2 linked regions of the Neurospora crassa OR74A genome follow. The protein of the gene in region 1 purifies or fractionates together with the protein of each later gene. This does not show direct contact. Links are inferred from orthologs where the notes say so. Each region holds a gene or a part of one and is shown in the gene's direction. Other genes may lie near its edges.

Region 1 (4,064 bases):
TAACCAACGGAATGCTTGAAATGGCAGGCCGGCGGAAGTGGCGTCGGACATTCCCTCCTCTTCTGGACGGCCATGTCACGTGCCATCGGGATCATCGATCGGCTTCCCTTGAACTTCTCCTTGAAGGGTTCAATCTTTGGTCGCCAGAAAATGAACGAACCGATCGATGTCAGCCAAACAATCGAACCCCCTGGGCCGGTCGCTCAATGCCCGTTCCTCGGTTGGTCCACACAATGCTGCTTGTCTGCCCCAGGTTCGGTAGAGCTTCCACGACTCCTCCTAGAGAAAAAGGGTACGTAGGTCCTCTCTGGAGACGAGTCCACACATTGTCAACAGGCGAAATGAAGATGGCACACTGATACTACAACGGTGCGATGGGCGGTCAACGGCCTTTAAATCTGGTCAACATGGTGATATGCACACGGGATTTACGTGCATGCTGCATCGACTTTGATGGAATCCCGGCAGCATCGAACGAAGCCGTGTTGTGGCCGTTGGCGTATCAATAACGATTCATTGGATTCAATGTGTTTCTGTGTCTCCAGACATGAGCGACGAAACCGGGCAAAGAGGAATCCAGAACTCCTCCCCCAATGTCTGATCATCCCTGCGTAAAACGAATTATGTACACACTACCAATCCCACATGCGACGAAACCCACTCAGTCCCCATGTAGACGACTCCACCCGTCGGTTTCGAGTTCATCTTTTACGGTGCCGTGTGGCGTTGGAGACATGTTGACGGCCAGAACATTGACTGGAAAGCTGCCGAATGGAAAAACAAGATGGTTGGCCGATGAGGTCTGCGACATAGAGATTAGGTAGGTTCACAGTGTGATGATGGACGCATCAATGATAGGAAGGTAGTTGGACGACTCTTCGCGACTGGAGTCTGTGCTGTCAACTGTTTAGGTTGGTGTAGGTAGGCCCCTTCCACTGCACTGCATCGTCCGTCTGCTGCAGCAGGCATGCGTGAGCGGACTGGAGACATCGATGGGCCCGTAGGTTGCTGGGGTTCTTGACCCACTCCCTCCCCTCCCACCACACCACCGGGCTGACCGGCCAATAGCGGACCCACCACGACACACACAAGCTGACGCACAGACCAACTTGGTCTCCATTTCCACGCTTGCCAATCTCCGTCGCCTTCTTCTTTCCTCCTTTTTCCACCGCATGTCCCCCCCCCCCCCAAAGTCCTGACCTGTTTCCATTTTCCATTTCCTCCATCTTCTCTCCATTCACTCACTCCTGCCCATCCACCCAAATCCATCCATAGAAGGGGGCTGAACACATTATAGAGGTCTTTCGCTACTGCCTCTTTTCATTCTATCTCTTCCCACACTCTTTAAAGGAAACATAATTACACGATACACTCGGCCAACAGCTGGAGGATAATTCCCGACATCGATACTTTGCGCCGTATCTTCATCCATTTTCTGCGCCGAATAGAACACCGCCTTTAATCAACATTTTGACACACAGCAAAAATGGTTACCTCTAAAGCCGCCATTGTCGCGGGCCTCACCCTTGCGGGCCAGGCTTCCGCTGCTCTCCAGCCCATCGTCATGAAGGTAGGCATACCACCACCGTCGCACCCTCGAAGCGCCTCCAATGCTAACCACACTCGATTCCACAGGGCAGCAAGTTCTTCTACGAGAACGGCACCCAGTTCTACATCAAGGGTATTGCCTACCAGCAGGATGCTGCTGGCGCTGGTGGCGAGACAACCACGGGTACCTTCAAGGATCCCCTCGCCGACGAGGCCGCCTGCAAGCGTGATGTTCCCATCATGGCCGCCGCTGGCACCAACGCCATCCGTACCTACGCCATCGACCCTACTGCCGACCACAGCGCCTGCATGAAGCTCCTTGACGAGGCTGGCATCTACGTCATCAGCGATTTGTCCGAGCCCTCCACCTCCATCAACCGCGACGACCCCAGGTGGGACATCACTCTCTACAAGCGCTACACCGCCGTTATCGACGAGATGAGCAAGTACAGCAACGTCATCGGTTTCTTCGCCGGTAACGAGGTTTCTAACAACGCCACCAACACCGACGCTTCTGCCTACGTCAAGGCTGCTGTCCGTGACTCCAAGAACTACATCAAGAACAACGTCAAGCGTTGGATGGGTGTTGGCTATGCCGCCAACGACGACGCTAAGATCCGTTCCGAGATGGCGCACTTCTTCAACTGCGGCAACCAGAGCGAGGCCATCGACTTCTGGGGCTACAACATCTACGAGTGGTGCGGTCACAACACCATCAAGGGCTCCGGCTACCAGGACCAGATCGACTTCTTCAAGAACTACTCGGTCCCCGTCTTCTTCGCCGAGTACGGTTGCAACATCCCCGACGGTGCCGACGGCCGTATCTTCGAGGAGACCACCGCCCTTTACTCTGATGCTATGACTGACGTCTTCTCTGGCGGTATCGTCTACATGTACTTCGAGGAGGACAACGACTATGGTCTCGTCAAGGTTTCCGGCAACAGCGCTAAGACCATGAAGAACTACGACAAGCTCAAGGCCAACGTCCTCGCCGCCAAGCCCAAGACCGTCGAACTCGATTCCTACAAGCCCGCCAACGAGCCTGCCGAGTGCCCGGATGTCACCTCCAACTGGCAGGTCACTGGCGACGCTCTCCCCCCTACTCCCAACGAGAGCCTCTGCGAGTGCATGTACAACTCCCTCACCTGCGTTCCCAGCAAGGATGTCAAGCCCACTGCCTACGGTGAGCTCTTCGGTGTCGTCTGCGGCAACGACCCCGCTGCCTGCGCTGGTATCCAGGGTAACGTCTCCACTGGTGTCTACGGCTCCTACGCCATGTGCAACTCCCTCCAGCAGCTCGGCTACGTCATGGACCAGTACTACAAGAACCAGAAGTACGCTTCCACCGCCTGCGACTTCAACGGTCAGGCCTCCGCCAACGGTGCCGCCAAGGCCGACCCTACCTGCTCTGCCGCTCTCAAGAGCGCTGAGGCTGCCAACAAGGTCGCTGCCACCGCCACTGCTGGCCACGGCAACGGTGGTGTCGATGGTTCCAGCGGCGGTGCTGCTGCCACTAGCTCCTCGTTCGCTGCCCCTGTCGCCATGAAGAGCTTCTTCACTGTTGCCGACATGGCCGTTGGTATGTACGTCGTCATCGCCATGGGCGTTGGTGCCGGCATGGTCATGCTCTAAGCAAGTCAAGTGAGCGAAGGGAGAGTTCGTTGGTTGTTGTATACCCGGGAGATCAGGAGGAAAGCATGTATATGGGGGTTGGTGTGGTTCGCTTTTAGATGTCGGTTAGGTTTTTGTGTGTAATAAATTGATGTCTTATGGTACACCCGCTCCCGAGCACAAGAAACCATTTGCATATGTTGTTGGGAAGTCTAATGAGTCTGATTGTCTCTTTCACCGGCGCACCTTTTTCTGTTTTTTATGTTTGGTTCGTTTCTGTAAGGGATTATTGATACCTTGGAAACAGCGGTTTAGATCTCTTTCTATCAGTTTTCCTTATCACAAAAGGAGGGTTGTTTGTTTGTCTCGAGCGCAGCTGGTCATCACATCACCACTTCTGTAGCCATTGATCATTCTAGGATACCTTTTTTTTTCTTTATCAGATATCAACATAGACAGTTGATTAACTTCGCATTGTCTTTGCTTCCAACATGGTGTTTGTAGAGTCTTGTCGTGACTTCCATGAAAAGTGCACGCCTTCTTCTCTTGTGTCTTCCTGTTACGTGATGTGATCGTCTTTGTGTCGTTACCTCAGTCTTTGCTTGCCTACTCCCTCGACGTTTGCGCGGCAAGACAGCCTAGAGGTACCGAAGTGAAGTGCCTAGCCCGTCAGGCCATCTCGAGTCCATCCACCCAGTTAAACTAGCAAAGAGGATGGAGGAAATCATGAAGCGCATCAACCATCCATGCGTGTGCCATGTTTTCGCATTCCCTACATTGTCAGAGGTACTCACTCCAGCTGTAGAGGTGACAGGTAATCAGTAGGTATATGCAGACTTGGTGTTTATGCATGTTGTACCGGGCCATTCATTTTCACGTTTCCAGGGGCATTGAAACCGGCAGAT
Region 2 (3,853 bases), on another chromosome or scaffold:
CGCTGGAGTTCTTCGCGGGCCTCGACAACACGGTCGCGATCGTTGCTGTCGACTACGAAAATAATACCCTGGGTGTTCTGGAAGTAATGTCTCCACAGAGGCCTGATCTTGTCCTGACCACCGACATCCCAGACGGTGAACTGAATGTTCTTGTACTCGACGGTTTCGACGTTGAAGCCTGGACAAACATGTCAGTGAGCGTGCTCGCGCGAGGAGTGGGTCTGTGCCATCAATATGTACTAAGGGGGGGAGCATGGCGAGTGGCGTACCGATGGTCGGGATGGTCGTGACGACCTCACCGAGCTTGAGCTTGTAGAGAATAGTGGTCTTTCCGGCAGCGTCGAGACCGACCATGAGAATTCTCATCTCCTTCTTGCCGAAGAGCCCATCGAAGAGCTTTCCGAATATCGAGAGCGTGTTGCCCATCTTGGCGGTTGTGTATTAGGCGACGCTAAGGTTGCAAGTGTAGAAAACTATCTGTTTCGGCGGCAAAGCGTAAGCAAATGGATCGTTGGTGTGGCCGAGATGGACTGTTGAATGCTCGTCGGGGTGGTGGTGTTGAGAGGAAGTGTGCGATTGATGACAATGGGGACAACGGGTGGGCATTTAATGACGACGGCCCGCGTGAGGACAGATAAGTGGTGTCCGGCCATTCGCTATCCTCAGGCACACAACAGCATGCCACGGACAAGGTAAACCCGCAGGGCTGCGACGGGTAACGAACTGGTTGGCGTCGTTTGGCCACTCGACGACGTCCTTCACCAGCCAGAAGACACGCGTTCGAGTGCGAAGGTAGAGGCAGGCAGACACGGAATGGGAAAGCTGTGGCAGGCAGCGCCGATGGGATACCACGGAGGTGCCTTGCAACGGCGTGATTGATTCGCTGACTGCCAGGGGGGCCAGAGAAGGGGATCGTGACAAGCGACAACAATGATGGGGTACTTACTATGGAGGCTTGTCCTCAAGTAATGGGGACGGCGATGTTTGGGATGCGCGTCACCGGTGGCAGCAGAAATATGGTGTTGAATGTGGATGGTGGTAGGATTGATGGCGGTGTGCGGTGGAAGGAAGGCAAGCGGGCGAGAATGTGTCTCCGGCCGTCAGGTCTCTGCCACGGATTTTGAAAGTTGTTCTTGGGCAGGGCGACCGTTCCGACACCAAGTAGCCTGCCCGCCCGCCCGCTCTCACCCACCCACACACGGGTCGCCCACCTGGCATGGCCGCCTGGTTGCCCCCGGCGGATTTCCAAAGAACAGCCAGAGGGGACGACTGCTGGCTCGGTTGGGGTGGGTTCGAGGGGCCACTCCTCAGACTCCTTGGCTCTTGCATCCCCGCCATCAGAGCGTGCACGGCCCACCAGATGCCCTCTACTCAAGAGCTACCACTACACTACCTTATCTGGCCAGCCCCTTTTCGCCTGCATCAACGTCAACTCGGCTGAGCAGCACGCAGGAGCAACGAGGTACCTTGCTGGTACCCCTCCATCCCTCCTGGAAGATTACCTACCTTGAAAGGTCAAGTAGGGAAGAACATTGGACCGAATCCCTTGATGTTTTTGTCACAGTCGCTCGTCATTCGACACGGCACCCTTCTTCTCGGCCTACCCAGTCCCTTTGTGCTTCCAAGGTGCCATTTGGCATTGTTGATAGCCTCGAGCTTCACAAGCCAGTCATCCCCCTGGGGAGTCCTGGACCCCGGTACCCCGGCAACTCTGATAGGCCAGAGTCTCAGTTCATGCTGGGACACGCCAAGGCCAAACACCCGGACCTGGGTGCTCGCGGTAGCAGCGACAAGGAAAGGGGCCCCGGGCTGGGTGTACCTAGGTACTTCGCATGCATGCTGGCGGGACCCGACCTTGCGCCGCGCTAGGTACCACTCTGCTGCCCTGCCAGAATTGTGAGAGGTAGGGGTAATTGTGAATCGCCAAGTTGTCCTCCCAAAACGTCTCGCGAAACCAGAACGGAAGCTTCCATATCTTTGCTTGAATCCTCTTCAAACTCCACAGTCGCTCATCGCCATCCCCGGGAAATTCGTAAATCGGCCGCAATGCAGTTCCTCACAGCAGCTAAGCTGCTGCTCTCGGCCAGCTTGTTCGGCGCCGCCGCCGCTCACAACATCGTCCTTCCCGCCCACGGCCGCGAATGCTTCCACGAGAACCTCCATCGCGATGACAAGATGACGGTGACCTTCCAGGTCGGCGACCGCGAGTTTGGCAGTGCCGGTAATCTCGACATCGATTTCTGGGTGCGTCGTCCCCTTCGTATCACCTTTCCTCACGTAGCCCGACCGCCAATCTACTACTGTTCATCATCATCGATCTTCGATTCTTCGACCAGACACCGAACAAGAACCTTGCAAGAAAGAGACCTGCAACAGAGAAGCTAACAAGGGCCGATGCATAGATCACCAACCCCCTAAACCAATACGAGACCTTTGAAAAGTCTATATCCAACGGCGATTTTTCGTTCGAGGCCAAGCACGACGGCAAGTATGTGTATTGCTTCGGCAACGAGCATTGGGGCGCCAACACCAAGGAGGTTTCGTTCAACGTGCACGGCATCGTGTACATTTCCGAGGCGGACGCGCCCCAAGACCCACTCGAGGTTGAGGTGCGCAAGCTGTCAGAGATGTTGGAGATGGTCAAGGACGAGCAGAGCTACATTGTCGTGCGCGAGCGCACCCACCGTAACACGGCCGAGAGCACCAACGCCCGCGTCAAGTGGTGGAACCTGTTTATCGTTGGCGTCGTGGTGGGCGAGTCCCTGTTCCAAGTCTGGTGGTTGAAGAGGTTCTTTGAGGTATGTTGACAACTCTTTCAAGGACTCTGGCAGGAAGGGAGAGGAAGAAGAAGAAGGCTAGGAGACATGGCTAGGACTCAAGAGCTAACCCCTGAACTCCTGATCTAGGTCAAGCGGGTTATTTGAACTGGACCCCGATACTGCCTCCCCATCGGATGGAATACTCCCCCCCTCATCAATAACAACAACAATTTCATAATACTTAAGTCGCTTTATACGACAAGTTGCTTTGGGAACCATTCATATTTGGGCGCTTGGGATGGGTCAGCCGGATGGGGATACGAAAACAAATGATATGATAATGGAACTGCCTACTACATGACGAACGAAAATCTAGCGTGTCTCACGCATGTGAACCATGTAATCAAGATGTCCCGGGGAAAGATATCTTCCATTTCCCGATTCTATGTCTAATATTACTGCATGATGCATTGCCATCTAGGTCATATTCACCAACGCCACTCCCAACCTGTTCAAAGCTTCTCCAAACTCAAGACACTTGAGGCCAAAGCAGAGTTATCACTAGACATATCACCCAAACGCCGCTCAACGAAATAAACAAGCAAAACATTCAAGCAGATGGATCCGACTCTGGGATCGTGACCTTGGCCTCCTCCGCCTCCTGCTCAACCGGCAACACAACGTCCTTAACCGGATGCAACAGCATAGGCGGCAAACACATCCTCCCCTCGCCGCCGCGCATCGTCGACACCGTCTGGTCATCGGCGCTATTATCCGGCTTCAGCTCGAACTGCTCCCCACCGTCATTATTGATCTTGAGCCCCAACCACCGCTTATACAGGTTAGCTGAGAACCCGGCATTATAAAACCATGTCAGGCCCCTCATGTTATGCTCGCGGTTACCAAACACGGACGTCCTCGACCCGCCCGAGGCTCCGTTACGCCCGCCGTTGAGGATGTGCGCCATGTACTCGGTTGGCCACTCGCGGTCGACGAACAGAGGGTGAGGGGCAAAGACGGCCTTGTAGCCGTGGTGGAGCGCAACCGTGGCCGGCCACATCTCCGGGAAGGCATGGTGCTTTTTGAAGGCCGTC

What was found. Proteins that work in one complex are often made in the same cells at the same time.
Region 2: the proteins of gel-3 (region 1) and NCU08339 purify together in Saccharomyces cerevisiae (affinity purification with western blotting; 3 studies listed by BioGRID). This does not show direct contact. The link is inferred for Neurospora crassa OR74A from reciprocal best matches to the Saccharomyces cerevisiae genes GAS1 and EMP24.

What each region holds. Positions count from the first base shown.
Region 1 is NC_026505.1:671,165-675,228, forward strand, and holds gel-3 (beta-1,3-glucanosyltransferase), read left to right. Parts: upstream 1-1,160; 5' UTR 1,161-1,486; coding exon 1,487-1,570; intron 1,571-1,635; coding exon 1,636-3,180; 3' UTR 3,181-3,696; downstream 3,697-4,064.
Region 2 is NC_026501.1:5,695,196-5,699,048, forward strand, and holds NCU08339 (endosomal P24B protein), read left to right. Parts: upstream 1-1,527; 5' UTR 1,528-2,046; coding exon 2,047-2,244; intron 2,245-2,402; coding exon 2,403-2,798; intron 2,799-2,906; coding exon 2,907-2,924; 3' UTR 2,925-3,284; downstream 3,285-3,853. Other genes in the region: NCU08340 (ADP-ribosylation factor 1, variant), read right to left, coding at 1-178, 270-426; NCU08338 (hypothetical protein), read right to left, coding at 3,370-3,853. UniProt on the Saccharomyces cerevisiae protein: Constituent of COPII-coated endoplasmic reticulum-derived transport vesicles. Required for efficient transport of a subset of secretory proteins to the Golgi.